2 linked regions of the Arabidopsis thaliana genome follow. The protein of the gene in region 2 interacts with the protein of the main gene of each other region in a pairwise test. Each region holds a gene or a part of one and is shown on either strand. Other genes may lie near its edges.

Evidence for each region. The genes of interacting proteins can lie anywhere in the genome.
Region 1: the proteins of ESL1 (region 2) and AT4G23030 interact in a protein complementation assay, tested with the Arabidopsis thaliana proteins (one large-scale study listed by BioGRID).

The regions. Positions count from the first base shown.
Region 1 is NC_003075.7:12,070,419-12,075,758, forward strand, and holds AT4G23030 (MATE efflux family protein), read left to right. Parts: upstream 1-2,341; 5' UTR 2,342-2,438; coding exon 2,439-3,947; 3' UTR 3,948-4,162; downstream 4,163-5,340. Other genes in the region: AT4G23040 (Ubiquitin-like superfamily protein), read right to left, coding at 5,254-5,340.
Region 2 is NC_003070.9:2,864,829-2,871,438, reverse strand, and holds ESL1 (ERD (early response to dehydration) six-like 1), read right to left. Parts: upstream 4,181-6,610; 5' UTR 3,994-4,180; coding exon 3,847-3,993; intron 3,757-3,846; coding exon 3,694-3,756; intron 3,597-3,693; coding exon 3,507-3,596; intron 3,429-3,506; coding exon 3,303-3,428; intron 3,209-3,302; coding exon 3,143-3,208; intron 3,042-3,142; coding exon 2,966-3,041; intron 2,871-2,965; coding exon 2,806-2,870; intron 2,724-2,805; coding exon 2,631-2,723; intron 2,536-2,630; coding exon 2,455-2,535; intron 2,362-2,454; coding exon 2,277-2,361; intron 2,189-2,276; coding exon 2,145-2,188; intron 2,062-2,144; coding exon 1,999-2,061; intron 1,925-1,998; coding exon 1,844-1,924; intron 1,726-1,843; coding exon 1,672-1,725; intron 1,580-1,671; coding exon 1,520-1,579; intron 1,426-1,519; coding exon 1,311-1,425; coding exon of another isoform or gene 1,249-1,310; exon of another isoform or gene 1,209-1,248; intron 1,204-1,208; coding exon 1,079-1,203; 3' UTR 783-1,078; downstream 1-782. UniProt on the Arabidopsis thaliana protein: Sugar transporter. Transports monosaccharides across the vacuolar membrane independently from a proton gradient.

The DNA of each region.
Region 1 (5,340 bases), on a different chromosome or scaffold from region 2:
GTAAGCCTTTTTTGGGTTTATGTTAAATATATTCCAAACCAAATAGCATCCACACAGATGATTGTTTCAATGTTTGCAAACTTAAGACTTAAAAGATATACCAAATGAAGCACGAGCATTTAAGTAATTTTTTTATAAGATAATACGATGATTGATGTCTTACTGTCTTAGATCCCACGACAGGTTCTATATACATATATAGACGTTAAGTGTATTAAATTAAGCTATTGAATAGTATAGAGTACTTTATTTACTCTTAGCTTATCGGATAATGGTTAATCTCATATAAACAGAAGTTATCAAGCGACAGGACACAAAGGTTTGTTTAGTTAAAGTTACATGCATGAGAATGAATAAATTAGACTATTAGGATTCCTCCTATTACTTAGGATCTTTATGGGGTTGATTCATTCTATGCCAAGGATATTATAGATTTTTGAACATTTTTGACTATATGACATCTTTTGTCTCACAAGATATTGTTGTTTAATTACTTTGATCATATGAAGATATTGTTTCTAGAATGCATATGGATGAACAACCATTAAGTATATGCGGTAATACTGATTATAGGAAAATACGTTATAGACAGTGTGATGAGAATTAGGAACACAATTGTGTTAATGAAAAAAATTTGTTAATTTTAACCAAAACACTATTAGATTCCTCGATAACCTTGCCCTTTTTCCTTGTCAAGATTACCTTAACCTAATTTTAAGTCGACGTAAATTAATTTTCACATAATTTGTTAATGATATTTGATATTCAAGATACAATGAAAAAATACTCTGAAATTTCACATAAATAAAACATAATCAAAACATAATAAACACTTGACAACAATTTTAGTCCAAAAGGAAATCAATTCTCTTTCGTTCATATACAAAGTAACAGTAAGTTGTAACTTAGAAAATTGATCGAAAATTTGACTTGGAAACCCTAATCATTTCTAAAAATATAAATATAAAATCTCTGAAATACGTAAATTATAATTTTTTTATCATGTTATTTATATTTGTTTGTTACTTCTATATTTACATTTGTATTTATTTTTATTTCATATAGTTTATATATATATATTTTTTTCTATTTACAGTTGTTAATTTTTTTTTTTGTTATAATATAATAAACGATCGACATAGCTCGTGATAAGATAATGTTATTTTTGTTCCCCATCATCCTTAAGCTATATTAATGGTCCACATTCTATAGAGGTGAAGCATGTGACATCGTATTATATCTATGCACAAACAATAAATTCTTATCCCAAAATTAATAAACACTAATAAAAAATATTCTCTTTAAACTAATTATTATTTTCTGTTAAGTTCTCTTGAAACTAATTATGAAAGCAAGCCTTTTTTTTTGCCAAACTATAATTTTCCCCTCGATTATATGATCAATAGAGTGGTCCAATAAATTGTTTTGAAGTTTAGAAATAAGCATTAAGTAGGTATAATATTCTATATAATTCTTCTCACTTTATTGCAAGCATCAACATCGTCCCAAGTTTTATATAAAATGGTCCATAAAATTTTAAATCTTAGTATTTCGTAACAACTTGATACCAACCTCTCTGTATAGCTGCTTAATTTTCTGGTATATGATCTGTGTCCATCCCTACTAGCTTACTACTTTACTACTACTTCGAGCAGTTACTTATTTGATTTTGTAAAGAATCCATTTCGTTTTTTTTTTTTGGCACATGAAAATTACCCATAATGGTCAAATTCAATACTATTAAAAGTGAGGAAGAAACGACATGAGTCAATTTGTTACACTGGTTTATTATTTAAAGAATAGAAATCCCAAAAACGTCTCAAGTTTCAACTCTTTCTATGCTGAGTTGTATTGTATGTATGTATCTAAGTATCTAACTATAAATTAAACGAAATACAGACAATAAATTAATCGTGAATAAAAAAAATTCTTAATAAACATCCAAATATCAATATTTTCTTGGAAACTTATCTCCAAATGGAAACAAAAATCCTAATAAACGTAACCATGATTAAAAGAAAAGAGTTGCATAAACATCCAAAGAAAAACAATACTATTATATATATAAAAAATCCAAATCAACATGAAGAAAGTAAAATGATTCCAAATAGACATCCAAAAATCATATTTTCTTTAAACTTTTTTTATTGGTTTTCCACAAATGAAAATAGAATAAAATAGTGTCTCTGAATTAAGACGGAGTCGTAACAAATGACATAATGGCCGGTCAAATAAACCGCCAAAATTGTTCTGTTATAATTAAGACTAATTTCTGAGTCAAAAAACTTCTCTTGTTCCCTTAAGGGCCTTAATCACTATTAACCTTAACTAGTGACTTAATCTCAAACTTATAACACACCTTTCACACATCAACAACACCTTCTTCATCATCTCCTTTCTCTGTCTCTGTCTCTCTCTTCTCTCTCAAACCTGTAATCATGGCAGCTCCTTTGTTGATGATCATCAAGAACCAAACAGATCACCGACAAGATCCGAATCCGAACCCGACCCACCTTTCCTCTTCGATCCAAGAAGCCAAATCAATCGCCAAAATATCTCTCCCACTGATCTTAACCGGTTTACTTCTCTACTCTCGCTCAATGATCTCAATGCTCTTCCTCGGCCGTCTCAACGATCTCTCTGCTCTTTCCGGTGGCTCACTCGCCCTCGGCTTCGCTAACATCACGGGTTACTCTCTCCTCTCCGGTCTCTCTATCGGCATGGAACCCATCTGCGTTCAAGCCTTTGGCGCCAAAAGATTCAAACTTTTAGGCCTTGCTTTGCAAAGAACCACACTTTTGCTTCTCCTCTGTTCTCTTCCCATATCTATCCTCTGGCTCAACATCAAGAAGATCCTTCTCTTCTTCGGACAAGACGAAGAAATCTCAAACCAAGCTGAGATCTTTATCCTCTTCTCTCTCCCTGATCTGATCCTCCAATCTTTTTTACATCCTATCCGTATCTACCTCCGATCTCAATCGATCACTCTTCCTCTAACCTACTCTGCTTTCTTCGCAGTATTACTCCACATTCCGATTAACTACCTTCTCGTTTCTTCTCTCGGTCTCGGCCTTAAAGGAGTCGCCTTGGGAGCAATCTGGACTAATGTCAATCTCCTAGGGTTTCTAATCATCTACATAGTGTTTTCCGGTGTTTACCAGAAGACTTGGGGAGGATTCTCAATGGATTGCTTTAAAGGATGGAGATCTCTAATGAAACTAGCCATCCCTAGCTGCGTCTCGGTTTGTTTAGAGTGGTGGTGGTATGAAATCATGATTCTTCTATGTGGATTGTTACTTAACCCGCAAGCAACCGTGGCATCTATGGGAATCTTGATCCAAACCACCGCTTTGATCTACATTTTCCCTTCCTCTCTGAGTATCAGCGTATCGACACGTGTCGGGAATGAATTAGGTGCGAATCAGCCTGATAAAGCGAGGATAGCTGCGAGAACCGGACTTAGTTTAAGCCTTGGTTTAGGTTTATTGGCAATGTTTTTCGCTTTGATGGTGAGGAATTGCTGGGCAAGATTGTTCACAGATGAGGAAGAGATTGTGAAGTTGACTTCAATGGTTTTACCGATCATCGGGCTTTGCGAGCTAGGAAACTGTCCTCAGACCACATTGTGTGGAGTGTTGAGAGGAAGTGCGAGACCTAAGTTAGGAGCAAACATAAACTTGTGTTGTTTCTACTTTGTGGGAATGCCAGTGGCTGTATGGTTAAGTTTCTTTAGCGGGTTTGACTTCAAAGGACTATGGCTCGGTCTATTTGCAGCACAAGGCTCGTGCCTGATTTCGATGCTGGTCGTGTTGGCTAGGACTGATTGGGAAGTTGAGGTTCATAGAGCAAAAGAACTCATGACTAGATCATGTGATGGTGATGAAGATGATGGTAATACACCGTTTTTATTGGATTCTTTGGATATAGAAGAAAATCTTGTCTTCTAGTTTTGATTTATTGGCACTAACGAGATTCGTTTCATTGTACACTCTTCTAATTCATTATTCTAGGAGGAAACATTTGATTGTTGGATTTTCAAATTTATGTTGTGAGATATATATTGGATTTTTTTTAAAATGTAATGTTGTTGATTTGATTTGATTGTAAAAATATACTTTATTAGTATTAAACCTCATGTCATTTCAAAAAAAATATCATGGGAGTGATTTGTTGTCATGAGAATGACTTTAGAAATTGAATGTGTAAACATAAAACTATCCTTTTCAAGTGGTTCGAGTGTAATATATATGAATCTGGTTAAGCAATTAAAGGACAAGATAGAAGTTGGTTTCGTTGCCGGGAAATTCTTATGCAACAAGAAAATAAAAATAATTATTAAACACCATGTTTAGTGGTCCTCCATAGGCGCGTGACGTTTAAGGCGCGTGTAAGTAACGTAACGGAAAGAGTTGTGAAACTTTGACGACGGCGAGAAAATACTAATGTCTCCGTCAAGGTCGTCGTTTGTGACAGCCGACGCCGTGAATGACCCGGTCTCTTTGTCGTCTTCTTCGTTTACTCTCTTTTCTTCCACTAACCCGACCCGTTTCAGTGTATGTTTTTCTTTGGGGTGTTAAATTCACATGAGGTGACAAAATACCAAATTAGAGTTCAAATCTGAATAACAAAATTGTGTCCACTTGGTTATAACTTATTATAAGAATATGATATTTTGCATTATAGACTATTAAAAATGTAACAAACTTCATGGTGTGGTGGCAAGGAACAAAAAAGGCCCATAAGGTGAAACATGAAGAAAGGAGAATTAGTTATGAATTTGCCACTAAAATCAAAGCTATTTTCCTCAACTGTCCCAACTTGCTTTTATATAACATTAGCTTCTAATGTCCTTCATTCTCCATCACCTCACTTCCTCTTTATACTCTCCCTTCAATTATTGTCTACATTTAGATTTTTAACACAACTGAATGACACTATAATGATTTAGAAACCAAATTTGAACTTCTATACCCAAACTTTTAACTTTGAATATGATGAGAATATCATATCATTTTGCAAATCTGGTAAATTTGATATCCACGATCACAGTACTATCATATGAGATGCGTGAAGAAGGAATAGCACATCCAACAAACCAAGATGTATATCGGTGGAGAAAAAAAAATTACTTTCAAAAGCCAGCCTTGGATTAAATAGACCAATAAATGTTTAGGGAGTAACAAATTCTACGAAGAAAAAGAAGAAGACATATAAAAGAATAAATTATGTAACCCCAATAGAATAATACCAATTCTAGATCAGCTCCAAGAACAATGCTTCTTGTTTGCTCGTTAAACCGATATCGTTTAGAGTCGATGAGCATTCTCCATCTCCAAAAGC
Region 2 (6,610 bases):
ACGATTAGGACCGTCCGACATTGTGTAGTCGATTAGCGATTTCTAGAATCACTTTCCAATTTTAAAATAGAAGTAAATCGACGAAAGTAAGGAAAAAAAAAAAAAAAAAAAAGAGAAAACGTAAATCATGAGAGCATTTCCACATGATCTCTTTGTTCCTTTCTGATTAATGAAAAATACTAAAGTGATTCCACAAATCATGTCTGATACGTGCAAGTTGTCAACTAAGATATTTTAGTTCGCAATCAGATTTAAAGAACATCTTTATGGATAGCACTTGCAATATATTTACTAAATGACTAAAAATTCAATAGTTTTAACGAACAAAGAAAAAAAAAGTCAAGATAATTGAAATATCAGAAAGGTGGTTAAACAATTAAAGGATTGATCTTTATGATGTATGCAAATAGATCAACAGATGCACGTAACCTACCACAAATCTGGTTGGCACAGCGATAGCTTAATTACGTCTAGGGAGAGAATTAGAAAACCTCATTTTCGGAACCTTAAAAGGAAATAAATTGTCTTTATTCTTTACTAACTTTTAGAGAGGATAAGAATTAACCTAGTTTTATTTGTTGCCCTATCACTATCCGTATCTGAAAACCCTATGCTATCGAGAAAATATAAAAAAGAACAATGATTTTTGAAAAGGAAATATCTCACAAATCAATTCAACTTTTAGGAATGAGGCCGGAAATGTGGAACACATACAGAACAAATAAGTCCGAAAGTAGAAACTGTGGGTCTACAGGTTTCAGAGAACTGGTAGATTGATTAATAGCATTAGCAACTAGTAAAAGTAAAAAAAAAAAATGTTAAATATACAATGAAAGCAAAAAGCCAATACCTTAAAGTTCAATTTTATATTTCTTTTTTTTGGGTGTAAAACTGGGACTATACTATACATACATTGGGCTAATTTACTGAGACAGAGAGATATCTAAACCTTATGTTCAAGTGATCTCTTTCTCAATTGCACATCAAATGAGGTAACAATTACAACAAAAAACTATAAACCTCCCCCCAATTGTAATCTAAGAAAAAATGAATAACTTTAAACAAGTCAAACTTGATCTCATTGTAGAAAATCTGTAAGAGAAGCTTGTATATCTTCCAATGTTCTTCCTTTAGTTTCGGGTACCATCGCATAAATAAAGACTATACCCGCACCACATATAGTAAAGAAGATCAAGAACGTTCCTGAAACAGATTAATATATTTCAAAAATTAAATCAGATTAAAGATCTAATTTTTTTTTGAGAGTTTAATGACTCTATAGTATATTATATAGTAGTATGTATTTATACCTGATGCGTTCCACTCTAGCATGAAGTTGTAGGCGAAAGCAACAATCCAACCAAAGGACCAGTTGGCTAAGGTAACCAGAGTCCCAGCAGAAACTTTAACATTCATTGGGAATATCTGCAAAATAAAAAATGTAACATTTTTTAGAGCTGGAAAAAATATATATATGTCGGTTTTTGAGGAGTTAATGTTAATGTTCATGTTTGTTTACCTCAGACATGATGATCCATGGTAAGCCTCCCATGCCTACGGCAAATGAAGAGATGAAACCCTGTAATATGATGTCAAATTCAGATCAAGTTATACAAGAGCTATACTTTAAGTTGCTTGTTTATTATGTCTAAGAAATGACTTTAAACGTACCACTACACCGATACATGTGAAAATCGGAGTGAGCTCATCAAGCATGCCATATGACTGTCCAAGAACAAAAGTAGAAAAATTTTAGTATAACTGGTAAGAATCTCCAATAAACAGCAGCAAAAAAAGTTTGTATATATCTTTGGTTAGAAAGCGAATCGTTAATGTTAATTACCCGAAAGCAGAAGGAAAAACTGAGGAGCAAGCTGAAAAAGCACATTCCACCGGTAGAGGCCTGTAAATAAAGATCATTCATCTGTTAAAAGATATATGCTAAATTTTGTTGCTTCATTTGATATTTGACCAAAAGATCAGATAGCAAAATCTTACCAATAGAAGTGGTCTTCGTCCCATTTTCTCAACCAAAATCAGACCCAATAGAGCTTTTGGTATCTACAAAAGCAGAACACATGAGCATAAGTGTACTTCTTGGCAAGATTTTTCACGAATAAATGAAACTACGTACAAAGACATACCATGATCACTGCAAGAATCATTGAGCCAATGCTGCTTGGAAACCCTGCCATTAGTAAGAAAATATTTGTTACTCCCAAATGAAGACAGTAAATTATCGTAACATGCGAAACAGAGTTTGTTTATCTATTTACCTCCTTTATCAAATACGCTACCGACATAGTACATAAGTCCTGAGCTTCCAGAGAGTTGTTGTAGAAGCATTAGTCCCACACCAATCTGAACAAAATGTCACAAACTTCAGAGAGTAAGTATAACGGTACAAGAGAAAATCAACTTTTTTTGTCACAAAACGTTTGAGAATAAACTTACAACAACAGATGGAGCATATCTTCTCTGAAACAAATCCATAACCCGCGATTTTGGTCCTTCATCAAACAAGATCATGGTTTCCTATAGTTGACATTTCCAATGATTTGTTCATTAGTCATGTTTTATTGAAAACAACACAATTTAAAAACAGAGAGATGTGTGAAAAGTTGCAATACTTTGATAGTGTTGGCTTCTTCAGAGATATCTGCATCATCTCCGCGAAGACTTTGCAATGAAGCTCTACATTCTTTTTCATGTCCCCATTTTCCCTATACACCATTGTAAACCATATTGAGTTTTACTTCACACTTTTTTTAAAAAAGATCAAAACTTAAAAAGGGCTAAACGTACCAGTAGTCTAGGGGACTCTGGAATAAAGAACAAAGTCACAACTTGCAACGCACATGGAATGAGACCTGAGAGACAGAAACCGATAAACTTAAATCACTTCTTGATGAAAATTTCATAACTAACCTGCTAGAAAGAAAAAAAGGATTAGGAAGAAGCTTACCGATTAAGGCCAAGTTACGCCAATGAACAAAATTTCCAATGACGTAGAATAAAGACAATCCACAACTCTGCATCAGCTGTAACGACATTTGAACAAATTTTAAGAACATTAGTATAATATATATCTTTTTTATTTTATGGTTATAAGAATTTATTCTCTAATTATTCTTTAGTTTACCTGATTAGCAAATACAAACGCTCCTCGAACATGTTTTGGTGTTATTTCTGCAATGTAAACTGGTATCTGAAGGCAACAGAGTTAACACAAAGTCAGTAAAAATAAATAAGTATATAATACACAAAATAAATGGAAAAAAAGAAAGTAAAAGAATTATTACCACATAGCTTAATAAACCAACTGCAAATCCTGTGGATAGTCTTCCAATATCAAGCCACATGGAGTCTTTTGCTAATGCTACTGCAACCCAACCGAAGATGCAGAAAATTTGAGCAAACCACATAGTCTGTTTAAGAGAAAAATTCATCAGTACATGATCTTGAAACATATGTTTGTATGAATTTCAAATTGTCAGGAAATTTACCCCTTTTCGACCCATGAGATCTGCAACTTTCCCGCTGAAGATGGCACCAATCATTCCTCCAAAAGTCATGATTGAACCAAACATGGAGTACTGAAGTAGTAAACAAAAACAAAAAAACAGAGTAATTTAAGCAAAACTAGCACTTTTTGAGTAAAGATTCAAGAAAAGAGAGAGGGTTGCTTCTTACTTGTGCAACAGAGAGACCTAAATCATTTATGATCCCTGTTTGAGCAACTGATGAATAACCTGCCTGTAAAATCCAACCCCAAACTTTCAAATCACAGAGCAAAACAAACAGAGAAATTGTTTTAAAAAAAAGATGAGTGATTTGATGACTAACCGCACAACCGAAGCAGAAAGAGCCACAAACAGAAACGAAAGTACTGAAAAGTACAACAGCAGTGATACGACATTCGTTGATGTCGTTTTGGTTCTTCCTCAGTAGCAAACCAGCTTCCAAGTTTCTTGAGTTCTCCGACATCGTCATCTTTAACTTCTCCACGGAGAAAGAACAGAGAGAGTTTTGTTGAAAGGGTTCTGAAGTTATATTTACGAATAAATATTTGCTTTTTTGTCTTCCATAAGAGGACTGAGTTTAAAGCTGATTTATATTCCTTGATTAATGGAGGAGGAAAGGCAGAGGTCAGCTTCCCCAATCTTTTCTTTTGTGTCACGTTTCTGTTGGGGTTTTATTCAATTTTATATACACGTATTTTGTTTTTTAATTTGAAATTGTATCTTCTTCTGTTTTCCTTATTTAAATTTTTAAATATTGTGTAATTTGTAATTGGACTGGCGTATGAATTTTTTGTTGTCAATACGTATGATATTTATTTTTGTTTACTTTTTTTTTTTCTTGGCCGACAGGCGAATGATATTTATTTAAAAGTTTTGCCTTTTTGAAAGAATATTTATTTAAAGTTATGTGATTCATCATCATCTTTATGAAATTGTGTTTTGTGTCTTAGTGGATGCTTTGATTATTTTATGCTAGTTGTTATCCACTCTTTATTTATTGGGTAATTTTGAAGGTGGTCCCTATACCGAATCAAAACCGTAATTGGGTGAAATTTTGTGATGAATTTTATGTAAGTGAATGTCTAGATACATTTATGAATCCGTTTTACATAAACCAGTTTAGTGTTAACCGGTCTAATTAAGTTTTTCTTTTCTTTTTTTGTTTAAGCTTTGGTTTTGTCTTTTTGGTCTGTTTTTTTTTTATATATAACCAAACAATGTAACTATTTTGTTCTCAAAATAAAATAAAAATAAACAATAAACACATGCCACATGTTCTACCGTTATCTAAAGATCAGGATATCCTAGCTACTATATTCTTATCCATGGAGCAAACCAGATAAAAAAAGTTTTTTTTTTTGTGTGTGTGTCTTTTTGTTATGGTCCAGTTCAATAACCAATAACCATTTGTTAGTCATATTTGATTCAGATTTTTTTCCCAAACTATTCCTTAGACAATCTGACGTCATTACTAAACAAAAATCATCCTCAATAATTTAAAACACTGAAATATCCGATAATTATTTAATATTTTAATTCTAATTTAAAACACTAAATATTATTATTTTTTGAATTAATGAATCGAGCCAAATTAATCATCTATTTAGAATCGTCTAGAGCGTATACGTACTATTTTGGTTTTAATAGAAGTGTGATCATTTGAGAAAATCCAATGTATTTTTTTCCAAAAAAATATTATTTAATTACCCATAGTCAAGATTAATTATAAATAATATACAACAGAATTTTGTCAATGTAAAGCTAATTTGTTTATTAACTCGAGTATAAAATGTCAAACATTATATTGAAAAACGAGTTCTTAAATAATCTGGATAAGAGTAAAATACAATATTTCTTACGTGAATAACCAACTTACAAATATTATACTACCTACGTAGTTAATCAATTCATCACAAATTGATATGAGTTGTCACACTTGCTATAGTTTCCATGCAATAAATAGTAAACGCGTTGATCGTGGTTTGTTTGAAGTTTACATAAAAAAAAAAAAGTCGTGCACGTTAGCTATTGCGTTAGAGAAAATGATACAACTCAACATTCCTTGTAAGCAAATCTAGAAACTACTACATATCCATTTTTCAAATGTCTTACGTTCAATCAACGGTTTCCCCTCACACTTCTTCATATATTTTGACATTTTTGTCAATATCTAATTTGATACGACAGACTTTTCTCTTTCTAGTTGCGGACACAAGGAATCATCAACAACCTTTGAATTTTCCCGGCAAAAAAGGTATTTGTTGTCCTATCTCATTCTATCAATAAAAAGGAAAAAAGATCAAAGGCAGTTTTAGGCGTTTAAACAAAATAAAAGATGCTGCCAAAAAGAAAAACAAAAACACGATTTAGGAATGCTTAAAGAAGAGAGAGAGCGATGTTCATTTTTGTAGCCTTACCAATGTTACGAGGCTCCACCTCGATAGAGCAACATTACATTCACTAAAATCAAGGAAGTACAAAGAGTAATCAACGTTATTCGTCACTATCACAAATTTTATGCTGCATGTAGAGGTAACAGGTTGAACGCACGTTATACAAATGGTTGGTTCATTTTTTCTTTGAAAGAATTGATATGATGGATTAAAAAACAAATTTACCTAAAAAAAATGAGGTTATCGCTCTACAATTGTCGTTCACCATTCAACACTTTTACTGGAGGACGACGTATTACATACTTACGATGTCAATTACATCAAAAATATCAACCATAATTATTAGGCTTGTTCCTTGACCAAAAAATAAATAAATTATTTGGCTTGTTTTTCTATACTAGCTATTTTTTTTTTTGCTAAACAAAATATACTAGCTAATTACTTATAAAGTTAGTGAGCTCTTTATCAAACATTTAAACAAAGATTATATAAACAATAAATACCAACTTAGATGAGTTTTTTGTTTTTGTGTAGCAGAAAAAATAAAAATAAAATGAATAATCTTGGTTTAGCTGGCGGGAAAGTAGGTTTGTAGCAGACCAATTTTGATTTTTGAGAGACGCTTACGTGTGGTGGGTCTGTTGATCCTCGAACGCCGTGTTTTTGCTTCACATGATCGTAACAATAACGCTT